Lonchura striata: one gene and its partners. The protein of the gene in region 2 interacts with the protein of the main gene of each other region in a pairwise test. Links are inferred from orthologs where the notes say so. Each region holds a gene or a part of one and is shown on either strand. Other genes may lie near its edges.

What was found.
Region 1: the proteins of NGLY1 (region 2) and TRAFD1 interact in binary tests that used the Homo sapiens proteins (3 or more experiments, as listed by UniProt). The two-hybrid records come from large-scale screens. The link is inferred for Lonchura striata from reciprocal best matches to the Homo sapiens genes NGLY1 and TRAFD1.
Region 3: the proteins of NGLY1 (region 2) and UBXN2B interact in binary tests that used the Homo sapiens proteins (3 or more experiments, as listed by UniProt). The two-hybrid records come from large-scale screens. The link is inferred for Lonchura striata from reciprocal best matches to the Homo sapiens genes NGLY1 and UBXN2B.

Annotation. Positions count from the first base shown.
Region 1 is NC_134620.1:11,682,529-11,692,636, forward strand, and holds the start of TRAFD1 (TRAF-type zinc finger domain-containing protein 1), read right to left. Parts: upstream 4,141-10,108; 5' UTR 3,611-4,140; coding exon 3,561-3,610; intron 1,660-3,560; coding exon 1,524-1,659; intron 1,454-1,523; coding exon 1,400-1,453; intron 405-1,399; coding exon 176-404; intron 1-175. Other genes in the region: NAA25 (N-alpha-acetyltransferase 25, NatB auxiliary subunit), read left to right, coding at 4,181-4,238, 6,864-6,949, 7,922-8,060, 9,696-9,814. UniProt on the Homo sapiens protein: Negative feedback regulator that controls excessive innate immune responses. Regulates both Toll-like receptor 4 (TLR4) and DDX58/RIG1-like helicases (RLH) pathways.
Region 2 is NC_134603.1:118,029,463-118,039,943, forward strand, and holds the start of NGLY1 (peptide-N(4)-(N-acetyl-beta-glucosaminyl)asparagine amidase), read left to right. Parts: upstream 1-6,070; coding exon 6,071-6,231; intron 6,232-7,281; coding exon 7,282-7,396; intron 7,397-9,421; coding exon 9,422-9,664; intron 9,665-10,481. Other genes in the region: OXSM (3-oxoacyl-[acyl-carrier-protein] synthase, mitochondrial), read right to left, coding at 558-1,561. UniProt on the Homo sapiens protein: Specifically deglycosylates the denatured form of N-linked glycoproteins in the cytoplasm and assists their proteasome-mediated degradation. Cleaves the beta-aspartyl-glucosamine (GlcNAc) of the glycan and the amide side chain of Asn, converting Asn to Asp.
Region 3 is NC_134603.1:38,209,894-38,219,859, forward strand, and holds the start of UBXN2B (UBX domain-containing protein 2B), read right to left. Parts: upstream 4,757-9,966; coding exon 4,634-4,756; intron 2,580-4,633; coding exon 2,479-2,579; intron 1,691-2,478; coding exon 1,619-1,690; intron 113-1,618; coding exon 1-112. UniProt on the Homo sapiens protein: Adapter protein required for Golgi and endoplasmic reticulum biogenesis. Involved in Golgi and endoplasmic reticulum maintenance during interphase and in their reassembly at the end of mitosis.

The DNA of each region.
Region 1 (10,108 bases), on a different chromosome or scaffold from region 2:
AGGGATTCTATCCTTTAAGATTCTGTCCTTAGTGGTTCTGTCCCTTAACATTCTCTCTTTAGTGGTTCTGGTCCCTTAACATTCTGTCCTTAGGGGTTCTGTCCCTGGAGCTGTGTCCCACAGCCGCTCTAAATCTCCTTTTCCCGCTCTGGCTCTTCCCAAGCCCCTGCTGTACCTGCTCCGTGCCGGCCGCTCCCGGCTCCGCGCTCCCCGGCGGGGGCCGGCGCGGTGCCGCCGCAGAGCCGCGGGTGCTCCGGCAGCTCCCGGCGCAGGACGTTGCGGCCGCAGCGCCCGCAGGGCTCGGTCCGGGCCCCGCAGTACAGCTCGTGCTCCTGCAGCTTCTTGAAGGCCAGCTGGATGTCACAGAACTGGCACAGCACGGGGCGCAGGGGGCACGAGGACGCCTGGGAAAACACACGGGGTTACTCTTCCCAGGGAATTTCCTCAGCCACTTCCAAAGGAGGAACCTGGAGCAAGCTACGATGTGGGAATGCAACAGTGATGTGCTGGAGGCACAAACTGGGCAGCTGAAGCTCTTCAGACACTCAGGATGTGATTTCTGGACTTGGGTTTTAGATACGACCCAAGATCCAGTTGCATTCCATGAGCACAGCTAAAATCCACACTCGTTTTTAGGGAACCAACTCACACCTCATTTGCTGCTCAGCAAGAACTGCTTGGACATGTTTTTCACCCCACACTGAACCCCCTTCAAAAGGGGTTAAAACTAAATTAAATACATTATATTTGCAGATGCTGCACTAATGACCAACCTGCACTAATAAAACATCATCATTTGCTTTATAATCCAGAAGAACCACATGCAGGATTAGCTACTCCCAGGGTTTAGAACTGGACAGATTTCCACAGAAAATCCTTTTTTCCTCAGCAATCAGCAGGCTGAGGTGGCAGCTCCAGAGTTGTCTCTAAAGGAGCCCACAGGAAGGGATAACATTTATAACAAGATTGTCTGTGACAGCAGCCAACTGGATTCAGAACTCAGAAAATCCCACTCTGGCCTATTTTAGTTTATTTTACGGGCTATTTTTAAAGCCTGTTTGGACAGATTGAGTTATTAGAAGTCACATAATGGCTTCAGGAGAAACATGAAACAGTAAAGGAATGAAAAAAAGTCAAGTCAATCATACTTTAAATAGCTATTTTTCAACTGACAAGGACAAAAAACTCACCAATTACCACAGATACCCCTCTGATATGAAGCCCTGAGAGGCTCCAGGACTTTAGGGCAGTTTCCAATCCCTTCTCCCAGAGGGTGTGAGTTCAGGAAGCATCACTCAACAAAAGGATGTACAAACCTGGATGCTGGCATCCAAAGGCTCTGGAATCAGTGAAACACCAGAGCATCCCCCAAGGGTTCAAGAATATAAAATCCACCAACCTCGTGGTCCTTTAGGAGGCTGCTTTCCATCTTCATCCTACATTTGCAGGTGACCTACAGCAAAGAGACCTCATTAGGGGAATTTCCACAGAAATGGCAGCTTCAGAGCAGAGATGTCTCTCACCTGCACATGTTCAGAATCAATGTGGTTCTTCATCTCAGACTTTGGGATGGAGTCGCTGCAGTAGGGGCATATTTCAATATTTCTTCTACAGTGGATTTCATGGATGATGAAATTGACTGCAGGAATATCCTTTTTGCTGTGAGAAAATTGCTAGAGGTTACTGAGCAGAAACAAACTGACAACAAATACAAAAAGTTGTTCACAACAAAAAGATAATGCTAAGAAAGATTTCAATGAATTCACGGCTAAAAGTGATTAGAAAAAGGCCCAGCCAGGCCTCAGGTTTCCAGCACAGGTGGCTATTAATGTATTTAACATGCAAAAGTCACATTGCATTCAGATAAAATCCAGGTGGATTTATTTCCTTATGTGAAAGGGAAATCTTGCAGCACAAACAAGTAATCACCAGGGATCAAGTTAATAAATTAGTCTGAGAAGATAAAAGTTTCTTCCTGAAAGTAACTTGGCTCTGAGAGGTCAAACAGTGCTTTGGAAAGCAAACAGTGCCTTTTTTATGCCTGACAGATCCTGTTCCAAGATAATGGAACCATGGAATGGTTTGGGTGGGAAGGGACCTTAAAGCTCACAGGGACACCTCCACAGACCAGGCTGCTCAGAGCCCCAGCAGTAACAACACTCCTCTGCACCCCAAAACTCCCCAACTCGCCTCATTTTGCTCCAAAATTCCCCAATTCGCCACATTTTTAATATGCTCGTTTTCTGTCTTGAACCCAAACACAAAAAGACCAAAAGGAACTGAGGCACCTGGAGCTCAGTCCTTACTCCCGCCTCAAACACACAGCATAATTTCTACACGGATCATGCCCTTTCCAAGAAATCCACCTTGAAAACACCTAAATTAATTTTATAACCTTTTGTTTGCTAAAACCACAGCTTTTCTGTCCCCTGCCAGATGCCAGGCAGCCAAAAGCCTGGCAAAGCAACGAAGTCCAACAGCAGCGACTGACCAAACAAACCAGGCTTATGTTGCAAGAAAATGTCTGGATTCTCATGTCTCTTGGGGAGAAACAACTACAAAAAAAGTTTATTTCTTTATCTGCTTGAATTCAACACACAACTTGTGAAGTGACTCCTTACCAGCCACTGGGCTCTGCAGAAAGGAGTAATCAAAGAAAAAAACTTCCACAACAACACTGACAACACTGCCTACTGATCCTATTTTCGCGTTTCTCCTCCTGAGCCGCGGAACCGCTGAAGAAAAAACTTGGAATCGTGTATTTTGCGCGGGCCCCACTGAAAAGCGAGCCTGGATTTCCATCCGAATGTTTCGGTTTCTATTTCAGTTCCCTACTAAATCAGAAGGGAAACGCGACGCCCTGGCGCTTACGGGAAAGGCCCTACGGTCGTCTCCGGTGTTTCTCCGCCTTCCAAGGAGCTGCACCCCGATGTGCCGGCGGGGTCGGCTCGGCCCTCAGCGAGTGCGACCCTCAGCGACCCCGGCCCGGCCCTCACCGACCCCGGGCTGTCCCTCACCGACCCCGGCCCGGCCCTCACCGACCCCGGGCTGTCCCTCACCGACCCGGGCTGTCCCTCACCGACCCCGGCCCGGCCCTCACCGACCCCGGGCTGTCCCTCACCGACCCGGGCTGTCCCTCACCGACCCCGGCCCGGCCCTCACCGACCCCGGGCTGTCCCTCACCGACCCCGGGCTGCCCCTCACCGACCCTGGCCCTCAGCGACCCCGGGCTGTCCCTCACCGACCCCGGGCTGTCCCTCACCGACCCGGGCTGTCCCTCACCGACCCCGGCCCGGCCCTCACCGACCCCGGGCTGTCCCTCACCGACCCCGGGCTGCCCCTCACCGACCCTGGCCCTCAGCGACCCCGGGCTGTCCCTCACCGACCCCGGGCTGCCCCTCACCGACCCCGGGCTGCCCCTCAGCGACCCCGGCCCGGCCCTCACCGATCCCGGCCCTCACCGACCCCGGGCTGTCCCTCACCGACCCCGGGCTGTCCCTCAGCGACCCCGGGCTGTCCCTCACCGACCCCGGGCTGTCCCTCACCGACCCCGCGCTCACCAGTTGCCACAGAGGCGGGACTCGGCGGCGGGCACGGCCGCGATGGCCATGGCTCCGTGCGGTGCCCGCTCCCCTCACAGCCCCGGGCACCGGGCCACCCGCCGCCGCCTCCGACCGGGGGCGGCACCGGCGAGAGCGACAGCGCGGCCCTGCGGGGACCGCTCGGGGGGCGCCAGGCGCGGGTGTGCCGGCCTGCTGAGGGAGCGGGTGGCGATCTCCGAGTCGGTCGGGTCGGGTGAGATCAGGTCGGTGCCGGTGCCGGTGCCGGTGTCGGTGCCGGTGCCGTTGCCGGTGCCGGTGTCGGTGCCGGTGTCGGAGCCGGTGCCGGTGCCGGTGCCGGTGCCGGTGCCGGTGTCGGTGTCGGTGCCGGAGCCGGTGTCGGTGCCGGTGCCGGTGCCGGCGCCGGTGCCGGTGTCGGAGCCGGTGTCGGTGTCGGTGCCGGTGCCGGTGCCGGTGTCGGTGTCGGTGTCGGTGTCGGTGTCGGAGCCGGTGTCGGAGCCGGTGTCGGTGCCGGTGCCGGTGCCGGTGTCGGTGCCGGTGCCGGTGCCGGTGCCCGCCCCGCCCCGCCCGCCGTTGCCCGCCCCCGGCCGCGGCTGCGCGCTGCGTTCTGCGCTCTCATCATGGCGGCGCGGGGCCATGTGCAGGACCCCAACGACCGCCGGCTGCGGCCCATCTACGGTACGGACCCCGCGCCCCGCCGCCGCCCCCCGAGCCCCCCTGCCGCCCTGCCGCGCTCCGGCCCCGCGGGGCTGCGCCCGCCCGGCCGGGCCGGGGTCCCGCGGCGCCCCGGGGTGCCCCTCGGCCTGGGGGGAGCGCAGCCCAGGTGACCCCGGCCGGAGCTGTGTGCGCTGCCGCGGGGCAGCCGGCATGGGTGAACCCCCGGGGGAGCAGCCGCGGGTGCCCCGGAGTTGTGTTGGTTGGATGTTGTGGCACGGAGCGGTGACGCTGTTGGGGGAGTTAATTGGGAGGCGGGAGAGAAGTAGAAGGGGACGGTGTCGTTGGGAGTTGTCCGGCGTTGTTGTGTCCCCCCCGAATGTTTCCGAGGGTGTTCTGCGCTGTTGGGGTTGCTTCGGAGGTTGTAGGCAAAGCTTGGCTCTATGCAAATATGGAGAAATAAAAGGAAAACGCTTCCCCGGGCTACGGTATCGTTTCGTCCCTAGAACTGAAGATTTGATAGAGATTGAGGAAAGCGTTCTTAACTTTTTCAGCAGGGATGGAAACCGTGGAGAGCTGCCCTGGTTTGGGGCTGGACGTGCTTTGGGATGTCCTTTGCTGGGGCAGAGGGATGGTGCAGTACAGGCTGAGTCCGTGGTGGGTTCCAGGGGAAGGGAGCAAGATGGGTTTGTTCGATTAGAGGTGTTCAAGTTCGTTTGTCTTTATGTAACGATTTTAAGGTTTTTTCCCCCCTTAGTTTTCCATCCGTGTTGTGATTGGCAGTTTCATTGACGTACAGTTGTTCTTGTCGTAACCTGTGTAAGAAATGGTTCTAATATAAAAAGCTGAGTAAATTCAGCTGATACCAAAGCAGGTGATGTTGAGCATCTCGCTGCGTTCATTTTGGAGAGAGCTTTAGAATTCCTTTCTGCTCGTTCTGGGAAGGATTCTCTGCAGTGCAAGATTTGCTCTCAGGCTGTGGTGCTGCAGAAACCAAAATAAAGCGTGTGATAAACGCACACAACTTCCCCTCCTCAGCAGCTGGGGAGGTGCACTGTGAGGCCCAAGGTCTGCCTCTGGATTTCAAGGTGTGCCTGGGTTTGTGCAGTGGTTCCCCGGGATTCCTCGACAGCTCTGGTTCTCTTTGATCTTGACATTTCTCCCTTCACCTGAAGGTTCAGGTGGTGCATTTCCAGCCTTTGAACATCCCCACCTATGAACTAGCGCTGGCTGAAATTTATTTTCATTTAGCTTCATTTCCTTTGGAAGCTGCTTTGACTTCCAGAAACCTGACTCGTTAGGAAAATACAGTCTCTTCATTCTGCTGTGTTTTTGGGAGGTTTGAGGGTTATTTGATTTACTTTGGAACACCCAAAGCTGAGATGTTCTTGGCACAGCTGTTAATCCCAGTCAGGCAGCTCAGCATGAGGGATAATTTGTGTGTCACTAAGCTGGGTGACAGAGCCTTAAAGCAAGAAGCCTCTGATGTGCTGTTCCACACCTTTGAAACCTCTTCACTGAGAAATCCCCAAAGTTTTAATGTTAGAGGTTCCACAGAGGTTTCCTAAGTTGAAATTTGTGGCTTCAAACTGGATTTCATGCCACAGTGTTTATTTTGGTGAGTGTGGAAAGGCTGACTAGTGAGAGGTTTGCTGTGGATGGGCTCAAGAGCCCAATTAACTCTGCTTTAAATATGCAACATCCACCTGGCCACAGGAGCAAATGTGGGAGCTGTTTAACAGAAATCTGTGAATCAGAATAGATGCACAATTCGTGCTGAGGATTACCCTCAGTAAAAAAGTTCTGGCTCATAATGGGAATGACAGGTTTGGCGAGGTAAAGGTGTGTGATGTAATTTCAGGTAACTGGCAGGAGAGAGCTCAGAGCAGTGTGAGCAGCCCCTTCCTTCCCTTGGCACATGAGGGGCAGCAAAGTTGGGTTAGCTGAGGAAAGAGAGATTTTTGAGGGAAGGGGAGCATATAGGGGTTGTGTCCTGGTCTAAAACTGCTTGTTTGTAATTGTGTAATGATGTGAAGATCAATCTGAAAGTTGTGATTCTGAGCTAAAAGAGGAGAAAATGGTCTGGAGATAGTGGGATGTCTCCCTAGGAAATACTAATGCTTCACAATTGTGCCTTCAAAACCAGCCTGGTGGAAGGGTAGTGGTACTCCAGGGGGACAGGTTTGCTCTGCCTGTGAGGTATGGATGCTGTAGACAAGTGTTTCCCACTTTGCTGGTGTGTATGTATTTGGTTTCTAACTTCCTGCCTGTTAAAAGTCACTGAAAGTCTCCCAAAGACACACCAAATTAATTTCTACTTTTCCTGCTAAAGCACTGGAGCTGCACTGCCAGCAAAGAGCTGTTGCTGCAGAATCCTCTCTATTATGTGTCTCTTTTGTTGCTGTAATGATCTGTGTGGAGTAATTACAAAAGCTTGTTTGTTTGAGTGACTAAAACCAGTACAATGAGATGAATCCTTCATCCCTGAAATGACAGTTTCCTGAATGTTTGGCTTAGGAGAAGCTGCACAGGGAAAATGTGGTTTTTGCTGCTGGTGTGACAGCTGATGCTCCATGGTAAAATTGGAGGTGGCTTTCCAGAATGGCCTTGGTGTTCTGGTGTGATTTTGTGTGTGCTCTTCCTCTGCAGATTATCTCGATAATGGCAATAATAAAATGGCAATCCAGCAAGCAGATAAACTGCTCAAAAAGCACAAGGACCTTCACTGTGCCAAGGTGAGTGGGACTGGGGGACACTGAGCTCGTTCTGCCTGAGTCTCGGGGTGTTCCACTGTCCCTTTCTCCGGGAGCTTCCACAGTGATTTCTGAGCCCTCTGGAATGTCTCTGTTCCAGCTCATCTTGTTTGCCTGGAAATGACCTGATAGGGACTGGAGTGTTGGTTCCACCTGGGCTGATTGTCAGCACCACTCCAGGTGACCTTGGCACATGGGCTGGGATTTAAAAATGCTTCTTGGAGTTCTGGGGTTGGGATAGCCATCTGCGGGAGTTTGGATCAAAACATCTCCTTGGGAGGAAATGTCTGAGGAAGACATTACAGGTGTCCCAGAGAAGCTGTGGATGCCCCATCCCTGGAATTGTTCAAGGCCAATTTGGGGAGACTTGGTCCATGAAAAATGGAGCTGGATGATTTTAAGGTCCCTTCCAACCCAGAGCACTCCAGGATTCCATGATTTTGGAGGCATTTGCTGTTTTCCTTGTCCACCTTCCTCGCTGTGACCCTGTTGAGGGAAAGGGATTCTGTTCCTCCCTTTTCTGAACGTGTGACTCTTTCTGCTTTTCTCATTTCCCTGGGGGTTTCCTGCTGCAGTTCACTCCACTTCTACATTTTGAAAGCTTCCCAAGCTGCAGAGAGTGTCATTGACCTGATTCTCGTTTATGTCACTTCTCTCTGGCCAGTTAGTGAAAGAAAACTAAGGAAAATTGCCAGGACAGGTCAGTTTACAGCTTCCAGGTAGAGAAATTATGTGATGATACCTCGGGGCAACCTCAGCATTTATTAAGAAGTCAGATCCCCTCTTTGATGCTGTTGCATTTGGGAGTTTTCCTGTCCAGCCATATGGATTAAAAGATTAATAAATCCTGGAGTTGTGCAGAGGGAATGAGGTGCTTGGGCTGTTCCCAGCAGGAGCGAGAGGGTTTCCAAATGCAGACTGTGTCTCTGAGAGCTGCCTGTGTTGTGTCCACAGGTGCTGAAGGCCATTGGCTTGCAGAGGACTGGCAAGCAGGATGAAGCCTATGCCCTGGCACAAGAAGTAGCAGCACTTGAACCCACAGATGATAATTCCTTGCAAGCACTGACCATTCTCTACCGGGAAATGCACAGACGTGAGTTTGTTCCTCTCCCAGAAATCTCTAGTTGTGTTCTTCCGGAAGGTTTGTGCCCCACAGTTTGGTGGGAAAAGTGTAAAATCCAGGATTTGTGTATGTGAGAGACTGTTAAGAGACTCAGAATTGAAGTGATCCTGTTGTAATGCCTGTAAGGCTGGAGTGATTTTCATAAAGCAAAAGAATCCTCATTCAGGCTTGTTCTGAACTCAGTTGTGTAGCAGCTCCTAAGTGAAGCGTGTTGATAATGATCCACACCTGGGAGTTCACATTTATTGATGAAACTACTGGAATTTGTTGCCAGTAGAGTGACAGAGATGACAAATCCCACAAGGTGTGATGTAGTTGAGGGGTTCAGGCCTCAGGAAAGTGGTGAAAACCAGGAGGGGAATCCGCACCTCCCAGTTTGGCCACATCAGCTTTGTCAGGTTCCTCGGAGTGATTTGTGTTTTCAAAATACTGAATCATCAGCGTTGGAGTGATGGAGGAAAGTTTCCTGTGCTTTTCTGAAAGATGCCAGACCTCCTGTCCTGCTTTTCTGCAGCTTGAACAGTTGTTGTTTCTGGCAGCTTCTTGGGGAGTGTGGTGTGGTGGTACCAATGTTTATTGTGGAGTTTGGTGGGTGATAGCACCAAAATTTATTGGTGAACTGCTGGAGAAACGATCAAGGGGTGAAACAGCTTCAGAAAAGGGAGTTTGCATCAGTCTGCAAAAGAGCAATTATGTTCTCCCAGTTGATTTCTTTGTGTATGTATGTTTGTAGATAAAGTATCATTTGTTGAGTAATACCAATATTTTTCTGTATTTTTGACTTCAGCATAAACCCCTGTGAATGACAAGAGCCTCTCTGTGATTGTTAACAATTTCCATTAAGCTGAGCTTTGTAACTTTTAGGTCTGTAACTCAGGAACTGGTGGGTGTGAGGCACTTCCACTTTTGGTCTTGCAAGAAAATTAATGTAATTAGTTGTTTTCTACATCTGTGTCAGGGATGTATAAACTGTGTGAAAGGCAAATTACGTTTGCTTTTCTGCTTCTATTCTGAGCTACAATTGTTTGTGTAAGAAAAAAATATGGAAGGATGAAAATGTAAGAAAGTTTAGCAGGTTGTACTATCAGAAGTATTTTGTCATGATAGACCTGCTATTAAAAAGTATAGTATGAAATAATTGTTTAGAGTTCTGATATAGGCAGTTGGGAGATAGCAGGATATGATTAATATGAGTAAACCTGTGATAAGAATAATTAATTTGCTATTAGGCTCTGAAAGTGTTTGTTTTGATACATGATTCACATGGAGCAGTCATTCTGCCAGCAGGAGAAACCTTCATTCAGTTTAATGCTCAAAAATAGAGAAAAACCTACTTTAAAAGTAGACCTAAAATTCTCTCTGAGCAGTTCATTTGCTGCTGTTGAACTCTATTTTGATTTAAGTTTATTTTGAGGTTTGTTTAGAGTTTTTTTAAGCACTTTCCTCCTTTGCCTGATGTTTGCAGTGCCTGGCGGGCAGAGCAGTATTTTTGGGAGTGATGAGTGCAATTAGTTGCTGTTCAGAGCATCCCTGGTGCTCTTTAGGGAGCTGTGCTTTAAAATATTCCCAAGTTGGTGTTAACTCTAGCATCTGCTTTTGGTTTAGCTGAGCTGGTGACTAAACTTTATGAGGCAGCTGTGAAGAAGGTCCCCAACAGTGAAGAGTATCACTCCCACCTCTTCATGGCCTATGCCAGGGTTGGAGAATACAAGAAAATGCAACAGGTATGACCAACAATTTGTGTTCTGGCTGGTTTAAAGTGTATTTTTCTCTGTCTTTTAGTCTCATTTATGTGTTATGAGTAATTTTCCAAAAACGCTGAGCTGGGTTAATGCAGAAGTTAAACTCTTGGTTGGTTTTTACAGAGAGGTTTGAACCTCAGTTTTGGAAGGTGAGTTGTGTGAAGACAGAAGTTTTGTTAACTTAAGGCTGTATCTTTTACTGATCTGTGGTTTTGTAGTTAGAGTACAAAATAAAGGAATTCTGGAATAGGCACATCTAAGAAGAGCTTCTGATCC
Region 2 (10,481 bases):
TTCTGCTATGCTCCTTCACCAACACTCTTAGCTGCATCTGAATAAAGTACTGAATATTCTAACAAACTAGATCTTCTAAGTGCTCTACAGCTTTCATCACCTGAGATTTCTTGCAACAAATAGCATGCTTTTGGGGTGGGGGGGGGGGGGGGGGGTGTCTGTCTTGATGGAAAAAGAATCTTTACAGGTTCTCCTTCACTCTATCTCATCACAAAGATCTTAAAAAGAGGTTGAGACTTATTTATATGAACAGCTGTATGCACCAAAGGAAAATTGTTTTCACACTGAGAAAGCTTTCATAACTCTATGGAAAAAGGTTGATTCTACCAAGAACTGGCCTTCACCCTCCTACTGAAAAAAGAGAATCGAGGCAGAATATTACTAGAAACTCTTTTAATTTTTCAGATTTTCAAGCTTTTGGAATATTAATTCAAGACTGAACATCCCTTTTCTATGAAAAAATATACAATGACAGAAACAAACGCACCCACTACAATGAACATATGAAGTAGTGATTATAATCAACATAGAGTTCTTACTCAACATAGAGTTCTTACCTGAATGCACCATCTCCCTCGGGATTAGGTGCTGTAATGTGGCAAGCATCACCGGACAGTCCATAACCCAAAACTTCTGCATAGATCCTAGCACTTCTTTGTAGGGCATGTCCATACTCTTCCAAGACCAGCACAGCAGCACCCTCTCCCATTACAAACCCCTCCCTCTGCGAATCAAAGGGTCGACACGCTGTTTTGGGGCTCGAGTTAAAACTCGTGCTGAGGGCCCGGGCTCTTGCAAATCCAGCCAAAGACAAAGGACTAATGCAAGCCTCAGTCCCTCCAGCCAACATGACATCAGCATCACCAGCAGCAATGAATCTAAAGGAGTCTCCAACTGCATGTGCACCTGTGGTACAAGCAGTCGACACAGCATGATTTGGCCCTTTCAGTTGGTATTTAATGCTGATATGGCCTGCTGCCATATTGACTAAAATCTTTGGAACAAAAAATGGGCTGACCTTATTGTAACCCTTTGTTTTAAATAAGGCAGCTGTGTCAGAGATTTCTTCCAGTGGAACCATTCCCATCCCAATTGCCACACCAGCAGTCAAGCGGTCCTCTTCAGACTGGGGAGACCAGCCAGAGTCCTTCATTGCAAGCTCTGCGGCACCGATGGCCATCACAGTGGCAGAACTCATGGACTTGATCTCTGACTTTGACACAAAGTTTTCTTCACTGAACTCACCCTCCTTGTTTCCCCTTGGCACACACGCAGCCACTCTACATGGGATGCCTGCATATTCTTCCCCATCTAGTGATGTAATCCCACTGCCTCCTTCCAGAAGGTGCTTCCACACAAACTGAGTCCCCACACCAAGAGGGGACACTAAGCCAATACCTGTAACAACTACTTTCCTTCGACATGAAGGCAGTGACTTGCTGAAAGCCCTTCTGTGGTTTTGTAAATGTAGATTTAAATTCAGACTCCGAAGATGAAGATTTGCAATCTTTAACAGATCCTGTGAGCACTGTGAGAACATGGTGGCAATAATCAGGCACATTCCTGTAAACGGAGAGGGGTGGAGGGGGTTGGGAAAGACAAACACAACAGTAAAGCAGACTGTATGGAAAACATTCCAAGAACATTAAATGAATAACCTGCTTTTTACATGACACCCTGAAAGAATGACTGAAGAAAGGGATATAGTTTCTGTGTCTGTGTATGAATTACAACAGATAATGGCAAAGAAATGTTCACTTTAGGAATGCCTCTAGTGAGCTCATTTAGCTTAAGCTGCTGATGAATATGACTTTGCACCACTGTGGACTGTGAAGCACTCTCTGGTTTTACTGCAAAATTTCCCCAGGAGCTTTAACCACAGCTGGCTGGAGGCAGAAACAATGAGCATTAACAGATTCATTCTTCTAAGGGAAAAAGTATGGCCCACAATTAACAAGTTGAGGATATTGTCATCTGAACCTTCATGTCAGGCAGAACGGTCTAGAAACCTCAAACAGGAGTCAATAAACTTGTTCTGGTTCTGCTACTAATGTAATTACACACCTAGGACAAGACTCCCTGTCTTTCCACCTCCACCTATATCAGCCTCAAGTTATTACACTGTCAGGGGACAGTATCTCAAGTAGCTTGAGCAAGATGTGGAGCACAGCACCACCTCCATTGAAGGCAACCCCAACAAGAGGCAACAAGAGGCACAGCAAGTGATGGCAGAAGGCCTCTGCTGAGAACAAGTACTTGAGGAAAGACCAGAGGACTATGCCAAGCAGTAATGCTGCTGTACTGTGCTGTAGTCCCTTTTCCTTGCCTTGGCTACTGCCAGTCCAGAGCCAGCCTGATTGCACACATCTGACATGCTGGAGCAGGGCAGAGGCTGCAGTACAGCTCTGCCAACACCTACAAGGCAGGCTTCAATAGCTTGCCTGCTTTTTGTTTTGTCCAAAGAGTAACTTGGCATCCCCAGCTCTTTGGTGAAATGGAGAGAGCTGTATGAAGACCATAAGGAGCTGCTGGGTACTCATGCTAAAATATCCAGACCTGTGCACAGCAGCATTACTAAAAAATGTCATGGAACCATAGAAAAGCCTGGGTTGGAAGGCACCTTAAAGATCATCTCATTCCAACAATCCCTAACACGGGCACAGACACCTTTCACTAGACCAGGCAGTGGAGACCTGCATCCAGCCTGGCCAAGAACACTTGGGGTAGGGAATAAAAACAGTAAACAACCATATATTATATTTTATACATTATATTTTATACAGTGCCTTTTATACATATCTTATATATTATATTTATACATATTTTATGCAATTATTAAACTTAATTATTAAGAAAATATTTTTAAAGGAGTCACTTTTAAATCCTGGCCCAAAATTTCCAAGTCACTTACCCTCTATAAAAGAGGTAGTGTGTGTGTATACGTGTATAAAAATATCATAGTATGTATTATATAATGCAAATCACATATATAAATATATAAAGAATATTATATATTCTATATCTAAGACAGAATATAAAACACCTCTGCAGTCATATTAAATGCATATTTATGGAGCATAGTGTATAACATATATATGGTTTATAGATACACTATACGATGTATATTGTATAGCATATACAATGTGTACGATAATGTATTTTATACACATTACTATACATATATATAATGTATGATAGCGTATTTTATCAGTGTATATATATACATACATATATACATATTTATACATACATATACATATATATACATACATACATATATATATATACATATATAAAATATGACTGCAGAGCTCTGTAAGGCAGCGCGTCCCGCAGCCTTTACTGAAATGCCGCCAGCCGGCGCCGAGCCGTCCTGTCCGACCCAACAACGCCCGATACCTGCTGTGCGGGAAAACCAGGCGCAGGATAATATCCCCGGGGAACAAGTGCTACCAAACACCCCAGACGTTTTTAACGTGTAAACCAGGAGTTAAACCCCGGCACCACAAGAAAACCCGGCGCCGCCATTGCCGGCCGGGCCCGCCCCACCCCGCTGGGAGCGGCGTCCCCCCGGCCCGTGCTGAAGCCCGCCTCCCCCCGCCCCAGCCCCCAGCGGCGCCCCGCCGGCCGCGCTCCCCCCGCTCCGCGATGGTTCGTTCTACCTCCCTCTCACGTTCCGACGGCGGGAGGCCGCACCACTCCGCAGGCGCGGGGGGAAGGGAGGAGGTGCGCGGGTAGGCGCGGCCCGCGGTGGCTCCTCCCGCCTGGCCCCGCCCGCGGGCGCCGGTGTGGGCGGGCGGCGTGATCGTCCGAACGGCCCCGACACCGAGAAAAGGCGGTGAAGTAATTTCCTTCTCAAGCCACGTGTTTGCAAAGGAGGAGTAAAAAAAATTACAAAAAAAACAAAACACAAAAAGCCCAAAAACCAAACCAAAACAACAAAAAGAACCAAACCAAACCAAAAACCAAAAACAGCCCAAAAGCCTTTAAACAAACACTCCGGTTTGTCTAAGACCTTATCCCAGACAGGCTACCATGGCAGATCATAAAATGTTTGTCCAAGTCTCATCAACAAAGACATGAATTAGTTACAGTGTGAGTTTACTTGTTTGGTAATACTTTATTTAATTTTAGTAAGCAGCAGTGCAAAAACTGAAATAAATTTACCCCCGCACAACACAATAATGTTTATTAGCTGCAAATACAGCTACCTAAAAATACAAACTGTAGCCCAGTAATGAGGCATGCACTGCAGGAAAAAGAAGAGGAATAAAGCCAAAAAGGAGAAAGCCCCCCAATATTTAATAAAGAAAAAAGGAATTTGTGTGTACTTTCTTTTAAATAAAGAGTCTGTTTTTAATTTGGAAATAAAATTCCTTTGGCATTTAATATGTTAGCAATTTTTTGGAAGTTGGCACTTGGTTTTCTAAATTTTTCACACTGCTTGCCTATGAGCACTCCCAAAGCATTGTTTACAAATGCTATACTGAGATGCATTATGTATTTATATGCATACATGTATCGCAATATAGTTAATCTTTGTATTTCTGAAGGCAGCCAACATTGAGAGTCACATGTCTACAAGTAACACATGGAAAGGAAATTAAAAGCTGAAGTAGAAGCCAAGGAACATGGCATAATTTTAAACTAAAATTTTGTTACTTTGGTACCAGTTCAATGATCCTGAGGGATGAAATAGTAACATTTTAACTATGCTAGTGGGAATAATAAATGTAATCTCAGCAAAAGTGAACTGCCCTGTGTTAACTTTCAGCTTTTGTGAGGGATACACATACCACTATCTTAAACAGTCATAGAAGCTGAGCAGTGACCTGTCAGAGGCAGGCAGCAGAGCCATACTGTAGTATCACCTACAAAATCAGAAAGCAGCTTGGATTGTAAAGACTTCTCTTGCTTGGAACTCTTTAAATCTGCATTCTTAATAAAGCAAGGTTCTTCGCCACAGTTCTTTCAGTAGCGGCACAAATTGGACGTCTAGAAGAAGAAGACCAGGGGTTTTTGCCTCTGTGGGATGGACTTTGGGTAGTGCAAGGCAGATGTTGTAGCCGGGGCAAGTCGCTGCAGTGACATTCCTGCTCAGGCAACCCTGTAAGCCTGTAGGTGTGGCACCCTCAGTACTATCAAACCAGGGAGTACAAAAGGAGATTTATGTCCTCAGTGATGTTACTGCCTACCAAGGGGCTCCTGATGTTCCAAAAACATGGAACAGGTAAACATTTTCTTAAGAAATTATGTTGTTTGATATTTGTATACTTTCAAGCCAAATCGACCAGAAAGAAGATTTAATCAAGTTCTAAGTTATGTCCAGGTGTTAGAAAGACAAATTGCTTGTTGTCAGAATTGCATTTTTAGGGCTTCACATGTTTCAGTGAAATCACACATCAAAGAGGTGGAGGTTTACAAAGTTTAGGAAGAAGGATGTACTACTGTCAGTGGGCACAAAGAATGAAGAATTTATTGGACACAAGGAGATTAGGCAGAACTCCCAAGACAAGGAAGAAACCAGCAAAGCCAACTCAGCAGCAGTGCTGGGATCAGCTCTGGCTGGACAGAAGGTAATTCTGGCAGGGCAAGCTTGCAACCATTGAGAGAAAAAAAATGAGCATGTGGACTAATCAGCGTAAGAGGGGAATCATTTGACCAACAGAAGATAGCATGTTTATTAATAAGAGAACTGTGTAACTTGTATCCAGTGGACGTGAATGCCTTTATTTGCTAAAATGTATAAATAGTGATAAATTTCGGTAGCTATCGTGCCGTCTTTGCGCAGCCCTTTCTGCGCAGATCTAGAAATAAATCAAAAACCTCGCCCCTGCGCGTGGATCGGCGCCTTGCACACCGTGTGGAGGAAGCTGCTTCGGGACACAGGTCCCGGTGTGGCCGGGAGGTGCCGCCCAGACCAGCACTGAACCCTTCACGGCCTCCCCGCAATGCGCCGCCCGGAGCCGCGGGGCCGCGCCCGGTGACGCCCCAGCTCCCACTGCGCATGCGCCCAGCGGCAGGCGGCGCTGCCCGGCTGAGGGCGGTGACCTCGGTACTCGCGCGGCGCATGCGCGGGGCGCAGCGCCGGGGGCGGGCAGCGATGGCGGCCGCGCTGGGGCTCGAGTCCTCGCCGGGCTCCGCCGCCGTGAGCGAGCTGTGCCAGAACAGGCGGGAGATCTTCCTGGAGGCCTCGCGGCTGCTCCTCACTTACGCCGACAACATCCTCCGGTGAGCGGGGCCGCCGCCCTCGGTCCGCGGGCGGTGCCGCAGGGTCCCCCCGGCCGCTCCCGGCTCCGCGCGGCGCCTTCGGTTCTGTTGTGTAATACCGGAGTTCAGAAGCGTCTCGCGTGGTTTTGTCGTTATTTTTAATTTAATGCTGCTTACCTAGAGGTGTAGTGTTCTGTATTTCTGTTTCTTTATTGCTGGTTGGTTTGTTTTGTAAGTTTAAGAGTTTGTTCACAACATGCTGCCTTGTTCCTGATCATCCACCTTAGGTGGGTGTTGAACTACCTAAAAACAAGTGGTGCACAGCAAGGAATTTAACTTGATTTTAACTTAATTTTATTTTTTATTCTATTTTTCGCTTGCCCTATGCTTCTGACTTCGCAAGGTTGGTACCAAGAGTTAATTACAGCTGGATTTCTGCGAGGTGGCTCTGTAGGATGCACATACACGCTAGTACATGTGATTGACCTTGATATCTTCCAGCAACTCGAGGTGTATGGGCTGCCCCTCCCTGTCTATATCTGGCTTGTCTTTTACAAGCTTTTACCTCTTGTAAAAGCTGCTGTGTGACAGAGAATGGCGAGTCCGGGCCTGGCTTCATTTAAAGGAAGAGGTGAAAGAAAAGAGTTTTAAAAGAGTTGAAAGAGCACCTCTCTGTGCTACTGAGACCCAGTCGTTTCACTCAAGTACCAGGAAGATTAGCATAGCTTCTATAGTGGGACCAAAGCCATCCAGTATTAACCTGACGTGTTCAATTAGAATGCACCAGGTACAGGGAGATGTGAAGTTGTCTCTAAGTGTCACTTAGCCCTGCTGGGTATAACTACAACATGAATTCATGAACATAAGTTGCAAGCTAAACTTTAACACTAGTTGGTAACTCAAAGCTAAGTACAAAAAGACATTTATAAAGTCAAAGTTTTATGTTGGTTTTGCTGAAGTGACATAAATGAATCTAAAATTAAAAAAAAAAAAAACTTTCATAGTGCAGTTGCACAGCTTTTAAGTGTCTACTTCATTTGCAAATATAATTATAACTTTCAATTTGTTCAGGAATCCCTATGAGGAAAAATACAGATTAATTCGGATTGGAAATCCAGCATTTTCCACAAGGCTGTTGCCCGTCAGAGGAGCAGTTGAATGTTTATTTGAGATGGGATTTCAAGAGGTGAGTATAATGTAGTAACTAAAGGTGTCTGCCAGTTTACATAGTAAAATTTAAAATTGCAATTTTTTTTCTACTTCTCTAGTTGCAAGGCAGCAGTACATTTTAGGGCAGTTGGTATTTTCTTTCAGTCCTTGTCTGCCAATATCTGTAGCTAGCCAGCAGAGAACTTAGATGTGGCTGCTTCAGAAAAATGATGAGCTAACGTAATGCTTAACAAGATTTTTTTTTTAGCTGCTCAGGCACTGCTGGTTTACTGAATGGCTGGGTTCATATCCATGCTGGCACAAAGGACGTAGTGGGAAGCAAGGTGGAAAATCCTTTTCTTTGTAGTAATCTGCTGTTTGGTGAACATCAGACATTATAAATGGGTGTTGAAACTACCATTTTAAAGAGAGAAAAAAAATAAAAGCCCTGCTCTTCTTCATATTCCTACCATTAGTAGATCCCTGTAGTGATTTAGGTAAGGGAAGCTGATCTGATGAAAACTTAATCTTTCAAAACAAAACCAGAAATGTTTTTCAGCCAATTCACAGTGCAGCTGCACAAGTACTGGTGTTGTCATGGCAGCAGTGAAGGGCAATAGACTGACTGTTCAAGTAGTAGTAGGAGGGTGAGTCCTTCAAAACCCATTTTTAAAACTTATGGAACATTATCCTAAAATAATGTTGAGTGAATCTTGATTCTGTTGCAGTCAGAAGGATTCATTTCAAAGATTGCTTTGTGTTCTGAAGTGGTCCCTGTCTTGGTGGAACTTAAACTGCCAAAGATTGTTAAACTAGAAGCAGTTTTTATAATAGCTGGAAAGCTGGTCTGAAAACCCAGCTCTTGTTTAACAGTGCAAAGTTCTTGTTTTGCTTTAATTTGTCTCTTTGATGCCACACTTCTGTATGGGTTTGTACATGATGTTACTTAGGTCCAGCTGTCATGAGACCTCTGCCTTCTCTTTGGGTAAATTTAATTACTGTAATGTTTTAATTAGAAGAAAAAGTATGCTGAAAGAAGTGGTGACTACGGAGAGAGAAATGGTCTGTGGATGTATTCTCATGCTGGTGCTCAGGAGGCTTTTAATTGTGCATTTTAGCCAGGAGGTGGGCAGTGTAGGTGGGGGCAGGTCTCTCAGAGTGTGTTGCCTCGGTCTTATGGTTATTGTGTCAGTCAAAGGTGTGGAGCTCACAAACTTCTCTTCAACTGCATGGCTGATATTGTTCCTTCTTTTGTTTCTGCTTGATAATGGATTGATACATTCTTTTGAGTTTTGTGGTGATTTTAAGTGTTAACACAAAGCCTCCATCTGCTGTGATATGTGACCTCAAGTAACTGTAGGTAAACAAATCACCTTATAAATAGAAGTGCTGCAGTGGTAGAAACTGAAACTGTTAAAGGATGAATGTTTCAGGATATTCATGTTTTTAGTAACCTGTTCCTGTATGGTAATTACACAGATATTTGATTTGATTATGTCATAATTACTGATCTCTTGTTATACTACCAGTAATTATGTTGCAGTTCAAAAATAAAACCCAGAAATCAACCCAGGTACCAGTTGTAATAAGGATAATATTGCCTATCTGAAAACTTAAAACTTCAACATAAAAGATACCATTATGTAAGAGAATTTCCAGCAGATGCTGTTGGGACTTCTTCCCTCAACATTGGATGTCTTCCTGTGTTGCCTAGGATTTCATTGCTGTACTGTGAGAACTGAGCATTAATTGTTCATTTCTGTTGTTGCTGCTTTCTGTGCCAAACCATAATGACATAGCCCACAAATGTCTCCACAGAATAAGCTACTAACAAAAGCATGCTGTTATGAGCCCTCTTTCTCTAGATTGACTCTAGCTTCTTTATCTGGTAGGCTTCTGAAGCTGTGAGAGGCTTCAAGCTTTTACTGTAAGGGATCTAATCTAAAAGGTTGAATCCTGCCAAGCCTTAGGATGCTAACTTCCAGTAAACTCAGCTACAGCTACAGATCATTGACCAGCTTCGACCTGCATTAACTGCTGAATTAATTTGTCTAAATTTCAGGGAGAAACTCACCTGGTTTTCCCTAAGGAAGCTTCAATTGAGCAACTACGTAAAATCAGAGACTTAATTGCTGGAGAGAGGAGTAGCAGACTGAATGAGTCAAACCAAATCCACAGATCAGGAGCCTCTGAAACTGTCAGCAGCACTCAGACAGCTGCACAACGGCCTTCGAGACCTGTTGACTCTGTTTTTGCCCCTGCCCGTCAGCGACCAGAAACATCACTTGTGCAGTCTCTTGAAATGGTAATTATAATTTGTGAACTTCATATGCTCGTTAGTCTTGCATATAAGTATTGAAGAAGAGTTAACTGTTAGGACAAGTTGCTCAGAGAAAATAAGTAGAGTCCAAATAAGCACACTATTAAGCCTAGAGCAGCTTGATTTGACCACATAGCTAATCTTGCTTTAAGAAGGTTGGACTAGACATTTTTTCCCCACTGCTTTCTGAAGGCTTTTGAGTATTTTCTTCAGTTTACATAGAACTTAAGCATGAAATGTGCTCTAAACAGAATGTTAGCAAGAGATTTTGTTGAAGATGTCCATGAATATTCTGTTGATCAGGGAGTCAAGAAAAAAAGCTCATACGTATTGAAAAGGAACAGCAGGATGGGGAACAAGGGGGAGAGTGAGAAGCTAAGACTAGGGTTGTGTTTGGTGTTTGAGAGCCAACAGAGGAAAAGAAGCATAACCGTAATGCTTATAATTGTTGATGTCTTGGTTCATGCATTATGATCTCTATGTATAGCCTGTGAGGAGGCTTTCTTTTTTCACGTGTGTGTCATTAAAAACAGAAATTTAGCCAGACAAGGACAAATTTATAGTTATTTAGGCTAAGTTTCCCTTGTCCAAGAGGTTGAGGTGAAGTTCCTGATCAAGACAGAGTAGAGTCCTTTCATCTGATGTTAACTGGCCCGATGGGAGAAGATTCAGCACCTCAATTTTGAAAAATTGAGTTATGCCTTTTGATAGAAGCTTTTAAGGATGCTTTGGTGTAACTTTCTGAAGAGTTTTTCCTCCTAGAACCGGTGTCACTTTAATCTTGAAGTTGGTGTAAGATGAA
Region 3 (9,966 bases), about 80 Mb from region 2:
GACAGCTCCATGTTCTTTTGCTTCCTTGAAGAGTTCAGCAACAATTTTACTTGGATTATTAGAAGCCCCAGAAATCTGTAATCCTCTATATTCTGAGTCACCTGAATAGAATCTTTAGAATAGTAATGCACATAAGCAACAATGCTTTAAGTAACAAGCACAATTTTTCTCTTCCCATCAAAAGAAAAAAAAAATGAACAAAGAGACAAATTTGGCACAAAACCTCTTCATTCTGATAAATGCTTCACTTGGTTCCAACCTTCTCAATAACCCAAGCAGCACTATACTAAAGACATCTGACTAACAAAGAACCAAGGTGCCTTCTGGAACAGATCCCAAAGATCAGAGGGCAAGGCCATACGTTTTAGGTGAACACAGTCCTGATGGGGTTAGACATCTTATGTGGCTGTCACCTACTCCCAGAAAGACTGATTTCCTCAGGGGTATCCTGTGCATGGGACTGTGCCTGGACTGGATAGAATATAAATTCATAGATAACACCATCTTAGCAGAACAAGTATAAAACTGTTCTTGGAAAACCTGAACAGTGCCACAATTTGATTTTTTAATTCAAAGATTTAGCATACTTCAATTCCCAACAGTATCAGAAATGGAAATTTTTAAATAAATATGATTAACTTTCAAGGCATTTTAAAACCTGCAGAAACTGTTATGAAAATAACAATTTCTAATTTTTTTTTTTCCTTCATAGCACCATTATTAGCTCTTGAAGACAAAATGCTACACTAAAAATAATTCTGTTCAAAATTGTATCTGTTTGATGATTAAGATCAAGATGTTCCTCGAGAATTATCTTGAGAAAGGCACAACAATCTCTAAATACATTGGAATAGATGCTGTAAAAATATGTAAATAAATCAAAATCTGGCAAACCTGATTGTTTTTTCTTTGATTACAAGAAATGTTAATAACTAATAACTGCTTTCCACTTTCCTCAACTTTTACACTTAACCACTTGGGGCAAGGCAAACCAATTAATCCATGTGAAACTGTTTCTTAGACCAATGTCTTTACAATGTCTTGATTTCATCATATTTTACAATTACCAGAAGAGAGTACTGGGTATGAGAGTACTGTACAATCATACTGTTTTTATAATGCCACATAATTGTCAATCCCTGAGTAACATGTCATTTGTACATCTCTTGTGTTTATTGCCCCAACTACAATTTATATGGAAAATCTTTAATTATTAGATTTAAAAGAATGATAGTGGTAAGGATATGAAACAGGAATTCTTACCAGAATTTGTATTCAAGAAAGAAAGGAAGCACTCAAGTATTTGAGCAATAGATACAAAGAACAATTCGGGATACTCAGAAAGACAAAAAAGTTTTTGAGTACAAGTGTAAGTTACAACCTTTATGACCATACAGGTTAAGGCATTTACAGGTCCTACATAACTCCAGCCAGATTCTGCTAAATATAATTTTACAACAGTGTACAGCTAACATTCTAATAAGTCCCTAGCTCTTTGCAGGACAGACCTAGCTCACACGCATTTTGAAAGAACATGAGGGAGCAAAGTGTGAAAGTGATGCAAACCCCAATTACTTTCACAATTGTTAAATTATTTTTTGTTTTGTTTTAGAAATACCTTTGGTTTTCTTTGTCATCACTCATGCTTCTCTCTGGTTTTCTCAACCTTTTAAGAGAATCCAGTTTAAGACTGCCAAGAGAATAAAAGAAAGCATTTGAAGATAACTGGCATATAAACTTCATATCTAACTTCTGAAATTACTTCTTTTTCAAAAACTAAGAATATCGAGTTGTGTTTTCTGGTTTTTGGGGTTTTGTTTTGGTTGCTTGGTTTTTTGGGTTTGTTTTAGTTTGGGTTTTTTTTGTCAAAGTTCACAGCCATTAATGCTTCTCCGTGAACAAGGAGGAAAAGGCACATGTATGGCAGAGTCATTTTGCATTAACAGTTGGACTGGGTGGTCACTATAGGTATAGTCCAACTGAACTATTTTCTTCTAGCATAGAAGAGCAGCACTGCTTCCATGCAATTAATGCATTGCTCTCATCTGAGAGCTAACTGAAGTCTACTAATTCATCTCTTCCTTCTCATGCAGATTCCAGTATGAATGCCAACAAATAACAAGTATTTGCCAACTATCACACTGAAGTATTTGATATATGGTATTGAAGCTTCTCCTTTGGTTGGGAGCAGGAAGTTATACCTTCATGAAATGTACTGGTAAATGGAGCCGTTTGCTTTATTTGTTTGTAAACTTAGTTCTGTATAGGTGGTTAGTCAGCTTAGGTGGGTTCACTGAAAGTTACAAAAAAAACCTCAAAACACCCTATACTTCCAACTGTCCCACACTCTGCTAAAGTCTCTCTTCCTGAATAGATTTCTGCATTTGCAGTGAACTCAAAGCATAACTGGTCAGTAAGATCTTTTCTATTGCTTGACCTCCTTTAACACGCATTTCTGAAAAAAACCCCACATCTTACCTCTGTGATACCTTTGGGTTACTGATCTTTGTAGCTGTTGGCTTGTCAGAACACAATGACTGTCTTTTAGCCTCATCTTCATATAACTCTGCCAAGGCCAGCTGTAGGAAACAGAACTCATTTTTGTAAGCCTATAACTCAAGAACTACATATGGAATAGAATAAAGACAAAAATTAATGTGAAATATCCATCTGTCCAGGAAAGTAGAAATATCAACATGAGGAACCCCAACTAAAATTCAAGTTCCCTTGTGCTTTATGAAAAAAAAAAAAAAAAAGAAAAACTACACAATGCTTAAAGGCCACTATGACTTGGAACTTGAACTCTGCTATCCGTTAGTTTCCACTACTTCACCAGCTATGTAAAACCTGTATTAGATTTAGAGTCACAAGAGTAAATACACACAGAGATATTAAGCATCAGCTCATTAATTAATGGTAACAAATTGAAATAAAGCAGCAATCTAACCCTCTGATAGAAGCAAACAATAAATTTTACAAACATCTTACACAGAAATATAAAAAACATAATTCAAATAAGCTTGTACTGGAATGAAGAACAAATTCAGCCTTTCTGGCTTGAATTCAAGGCATCACTCCACAAATACTTACACAAACCCCAACAAACTTTTTCACAAAGATTCCCAAAATGCTGCCATATCACTGGCAAGCTCATTCTTAGAAATTTATGCAAGAATCCTACAGTGTAATTTCAGCAATCTTTCTTTTGTACTGAATAGGACTCTATTTTGTCAAACCATCCTGAGTTTTGTCCCCAGATCACTCTGCTCACACTATGTGACTGACATTAACATTTTATCATACACACCAGAAAGGTACTAGGCTACAGTTTCATTACAGTTTTATGTAGAGGGGATACAGGTTAAAATAAAATGAAACATCATCTGCCTTTGAAAACAAACTGCTATGAACACAGGGTAGTAATCCCGTATTATTTTTTGTTGTTTTTATAATATTATGAGGTATTTTCTACAGGAAAAAATAAATATGAGGAATTATATCCATTAAGAAAATTAAATTGAGGAAAGAGACCCCAAAAAATCTGCTGAAGGCCTCTATTCCATCTGAGGATAGAAGAAAATACCTTTCAGATATGTAAAGCTGATGGGTAAATCATAGACAACATACCCTGTACCATCCCTAATCCAAGGATCGAGGGATGCTGAGAGAGCATGGAAGGGCATGGCCAGGTTTCTGTGCTTTCCTCAAATCCCGTCTCATGTGGCACCGCTAATCAACTACAGACCCAGGAGGGTACTTCCTTGGGGTTTAACACTTTATCAATAAGTATCTAGCCAAAACCTTATGAACCAGAATTATTAACACAGATTTTGTTACTGTTACCTGTTGTAACAATAAAAAAAAGCAATCCCGGAGAATAACACAACAGTAACACTGGAGAAAACTCCAGAGAGATCTCACTGCGGCCTCTCTGTACTTAAAGGGGGCTTAGAAAAAAGAGGAAGAACAACTTTTTTATATGGGTAGATAGTGATAGGACAAGGCAGAATTGTTCTAAACTACAAGAGGAGAGATTTAGATTAGATATTAGGAAGAAATTCTTTATTCAGAGGGTAGTGAGGCATCAGAAAAGATTTCCCAGAGAAGCTGAGGATGCCCTATCCCTGGGAGTGTCGAAGGTCAGGTTGGATGGAGCTCTGAGCAACATGGTTTAGTGAAAGGTGTCCATGCCTATGGCATAGGGGCTAAAACTATATGATCTTTAAGATCCTTTCCAACTCAAACCATCCTATGATTGCAGCAAAATTAATCTTAAGAAGAACCTATGAAAATTCCAAATAGTAATAATGAAAAAAAAAACTACACCCATCTTCCTCTTTCCATAATGTGTAATTAAATGGAACAGAGACAGTTTCAGTTACTAAGTTTCACCTGTTTTCCAATCCTAAAGGGCCTAGTGCTCTTCCAGAGGCGTGCTCCCCTTCCCAGCCTGCAAGGGGCGTGGGAGCTGAAGGAAGAAAAGCCGGGTGGGCTCAGGGGCAGTCGGGGCAGCCGCGCACCGCCCTGCCCTCAGGGCCGGCCCGGGGGGAGCCCTGCGGCGGCCCCGGGGGGACGCGGCGCTCCGCCCGACCCCGCCCCGCCCGGGAGTGGGGCGGCACGCCCGCCCCCTCACCTGCAAATCCCGGGCGCTGGGCGGGCGGCCGGTGCTCCGGGGCTGCCGGTCCCTGCGGCCGGCGGCCGGAGCCGCGGGCACATCCCCGTCCGGCTGCGCGGGCGCTGCGCCGCCGTCCGCCATCTTGTGGAGGCGGTGGCGAGCGCCGGGCGGGGCGGGGCCAGCGCCGCCGGCGCGGCCGCCATGGCAACGGGAGGGGCCGTGCCTGCCCGCCGCGGGGGCACGGCCCGAACGTCAGACCTTTGCGGAGTAAAGTTTATGGGCCTCAGCAGACAAAGCCCTTAGCGTTCATTCGCGGCGAATTGCACAGCTTGTCTATCAGTAGTCAAAGCCCTGCTTACTGGTTGTATGTCTTCCTTCTTATGCTACTTAGTCTGCAGGTGCAGTTCCCTCCATTTTGAGTTGGTGGTTGCGGTCGCCCACTGCCGGAATTGCCTATCACAGAATCAAATAGGCTGGAACAGACCTCTGAAATCATCCAGTCCAACCTGTGACCAAACACTACCATGTCAACTAGACTATGGCACTGAGTGTCACATCCAACCCTTCGCCACCTCCCTGGGCAGCCCATTCCAATGTTTTAACCCCCTTTCTGTGAAGAAATTCTTCCTAACGTCCAACTTAAAGCTCCCCTGCCTCAGTTTAAGACTACATTATCTCATCCTGTTGCTGGGGGGAAGTGGCCAACTCCCACCTGGCTACAACCTCCTTTCAGAGAGTTGTAGAGAGTCATAAGGTCACCCCTGAGTCCTTTCCTTCAGTCTAAACAACCCCAGCTCCCTCAGCTACTCCTCACAGGACTTGTGCTCCAGACCCTTCACCAGCTTTGTTGCTCTCCTCAGGATCCTTCTCTTTCCCCCGGTTACTTCTGCTGACTTCACTCCTGGTGGCTCTTGTCCAGACAGACCTTTAATCTTGGGAGTGTCTTGTCTTTTCCTTAAAACTTAGCATGATGCCATATGTTATGGGGTGTCCAGGTTCAGATGATTTGTCTGTGTGCCTTCCAGGCTCCTTGTGTTCCTCCAGCCTGCTCACTGGTGGGGCAGGGTGAGAAGCAGAAAAGGCCTTGGTGCTGTGCGAGCCCTGCTCAACAATAGTCAAGGCACCATTGTGTTACCAACACTGGCTTTCAGTCACAAATCCAAAACATAGCACTTATGGAAAATCAACTCCAGCCTAGACAGGATGAGGAACTCTTGCCATCCTCAGTTTTCTCTAGGGCTGCTCAGCTCAAACACCCTCTGCTTTCTAATCAATCTCTCCAGACCCTCTTGACACTGGATTACAGTCCAGAAACACTGGTAATTGTGCCAAAGGGAGCTGGAATCTCATAGAACTCTTTAAGCTGGACTGTTAAACTGTGTGCTTCATGCCTTCATAGTCAGCCAAACTCTCAGTGAGAATGCAGACAGAGCAGTCTGTCCCAGCATAAAAACAGTGCAGGAAAAAATATTATCTGGTACCCAGCTCCATCTCAAGGGTCAATGGTGACAGTGGTGACACTGGTCTCTACACTGGTGACAATATTGTTCTTATGGAGTATGTAGATATGAATGATTGGGTTTTTTTTTCCTACAGAACTATATTGTGTGCTTGACAAAGAAGAATGACATCACTGAGGAGATATATTCTATGTATACATATTTATATAACATTGCATATATAATACATTTCATGTAGCTCCCACATTCGCAACTTTATATGCTGAGGGCATATGCTTGCAAAGAACTCTATGCTTGATTTAGGAAAAAATGGAACCTGAATAGAAGTAGGAACTTCCCTCAGCTGGTTTCTGTACTTGAAGCATTGGCATGAGGACTATACCAAGCACAAAGCTTTAGTCATATTATTTCATTCAGCCTTCCTTGGGTTGATATGTGGTGTGCAGCTTCTGTCTAAGTCCAAATGTCCTGTGGTGATGGAGACCAAATTAGCAGTGAGGATGTCTAAACTGTAATCACTGTAAAAGCCAAATAACTTTATTACAAAATCAGTTTTTTATAATTTGGTGTTCCATATTTTGACAGGCATATCTTCCCTAAACATTGGCATAATTCCTGTCTGTCTTTGTGATTGCCTCGTCTGCTTAAGGTGTCAACAACATTTCAAGAGATCACCTGAATACAGATCAGCACATAATTATTTTCTCAGTGAAATTTATATTGTCACAGATATCTAGAAATTTAAATATGTGCAACCCAAGCATCCATTTTAATTTGCATAACATCATTCTTGTGACCAATGTTTTCTGACACAGCTATAGATTTAAAACAGCTAATTACAACCTCTAGTTCTTTAATTAAATTTGATACTGTATTTTTATTTATGTCTAAAATACACTTCAACATTCTAGATATTTTCCTCCTAGAGACTAAAACTAGCAGCATTTACAATCTTCTTTTTGGTAATGTTGTTTTTCCCAAAATTTCACTACAGTGTTGGTGCTATCCAGAAACAAACATAAAAACACAAGTAAAAATAAAATAATACATAAAAAGTATATACATAGAGTGAAAAAAAATTTCCATGCTACAGTGCAGAGAATGCAGATAAGTAAGACAAAAACTTTTAAATGAACTTCAGAAGCCCCTATTATATATTCTAGATTACAGAACATGTATCTCTCTTACCCAAGAAGCAAATGAGTAAGTGCTGACATAGCATATGTATTTAAATTAATTTGCTTGTATTTTCCAAAAATGCATAGCTCTTTAAAACTGGTTTTGTGACTAGTGAGAAACAGGGAATTCCCTGATGATATTGCTTCTCCATGAGCTTCAGTTCCATGAAGCTTGTGTTGGAAAGGGAAGAATGCAATAAGGAAGAGGACATCTGTGCTTTGTGGTTGTGAAGTAAACTGTGTTAGAGGGAAATTTCCCACAGAAAATAATTTAGGAACAAGAAAAGGCTTGGGGTGAACACAATGGGTTGTCATGGCCTATGGTCACAATGTACCAGCTGTTTTGCAACTGATAACATTGTAAGATAAATTAAAGGAAATTTCTTAGGGGCAGAGAGATTCATATTTGTATTAAAAAAATAAAATCACCACCAAACACCAAAATAAATAGAACATAGTCTGTTAAAAATCTACACGCATTTCTAATTTCTAAAACATTACAGTTCTTAAACTCAGTGTGTTAAAATAGGCTTTTTGTTGCTGTGGAGATCTGCTATTTCATCATCATTTCAGCCTAGAATTACTTTGACCTACCTCTGCAATTTGTATTGGGTTTTGTTACAAACTTTGTATTACAATAACTGCAAAAGAGCAACAGTGTCTTCATTTCCCTGCTCACTTTGGTTGTCTCCAAATGTTTCATCACAGACAGCATTTCCTGTCTGTGATGAAACATATTTATCTAGGATGATAAATATGAAACACATATTTATCTAGGATGATGAAGATTTAATAATGTATCATTCAGTTATGGGATCTATAAATGACAAGTATTTGGCTTTTACTTGATAAGAATTGCACATGGCAGTTTTCTATCAAAGCCTAAACAGTAGAATAAAATGAAAGATTAAGAGAGGACAGAAACAAGAAAAAAACCAAGAAAACAAAACAAAACAAAACAAAAAACCCCCATCAATCAAACCAAAAACCTACTCCAAAACTATAGCTTCAGGTATAGCATACAAGGCAGAACTACTTCCAGTTACAGTGAACAAATGAGACTGATCACTTCAATACCTTTGGAAAGAAAGTACAAGTCATTAAGATCCCTGACAACCTTGCAGTTCACACTCTGTGAGCAAAGGGTTCAAGAACACACAGAAGGCAACAGCGGGCTTTGAGGATATCAGACAAACCTTCTGTATACAATACATATGAAATAAAAAATGAGGTAAATATTTTATTGCATTTTTAAGGCTATTTTGAGATCAAACCTTTCCACTTTTCCAGCAGATGCTCTGAAAATCAGGATATTTTAATTAATTCTGCCAGTGCTAATGTATGTTTAATTCATTTTGATGCTCCAGTAGCCACGCCCTTGCCTCACTCAGGGGAATTAATGGGTGCAGAGGCATAGTACAAAGATTAAGCTTTCAGAGGTTTGACAATTGGTCTGTAGTGCAGCAACTGCTGCAAACCAGATATATGAGACTGCAGTAGGAAAGCATCTTGATGAGGAAAAGCAGTGAGGATATATTTACATCGATGTGAGAGCAAGCCTACAGGTGGTGGGTCTGCAAAAGATCTTCCACTGCTTCTGCTGTGGGAGAAGCTGGAAAAATAGACATATTGAACAGGAGGAAGCCAAATACCTACAAATCTGTATCCTGCATTCTGTATTTCTATTTCTCCCTTTATATCCCTCCCATTATATGTCTCCCCAATTCCAAGCTAAAATATCAGCTTCTTCCTTTGTGTCCTCCCTAAGGCCATTTTAGAACCTCCAGCCTCTCCTGTAAGTGCCACTAGCATTTTTGTGTCCCCAGTACCCTTGCACTGCAATGGCCCCTCTCCCCTGCCATGTCACTTAGACACCTATTTTGACCCTTCACTTGGATTATGGACATCATCTGCTGAGTCTTGTCCAGAGCTGAATGTATGGCTGACTGCTTCCCAGAAAAATGAACAGACTTCATTATCCTTATGTTTCTCTTTTCCAATGCATGAATAAGATATCTCCACTTCACTTGGGCATCTATTTTGTAGATATGACTATCTAGCAAAAAGGAAGTATGATCTGAGTTCAAAATAACATAAAAATAGTGATATATTCTGTCAGCTAAAAATAAAAGATGCACTCAGCTGAATTGGAAACATATTCCTGGATGTGACTGTGTTAGGTGAGATGAATCCTCCTTTAGAAATGTCTCAACAGGTGAATCATAGTGTGTGTACAAATCTGTTCAGAATCATTCACTGTACTGATGAATCTAATTTTGTTTCAGTTCCAAAATATGATGAGCTAGATAACATGTGAAAAAAATATGTGAACCAGGAGTCAACTCCCTGGATCCTTTCTATTGGTTTCAGAGCAGGGTTTGCCCAATTTAGGATTTAAGATATTTGGATAAACCTCTTTCTTTGTACTCCTTAGATGAAATAACGTGAGTATAAATTGTTCGGTGGGGTCTCCAAAGAGATTAGGAAACAACAATCTTTCTTTCTGACGCCTCCTCAAATATTTTTGGAGCTTAAATTAAATGTTAAGAGAAAAAACTTCCTGCCAGCATTACAATGGAAAATATGTGAGGTACCAGCAGGTGGTGCTGATACAACAAGTAAGCAGGATCCGCGGGCTCAGCTTTAAAGCCAACATTTCCTTACGGCTGATACCATTACACATCACTTTCTAATTTTAAATATTGACATCTTA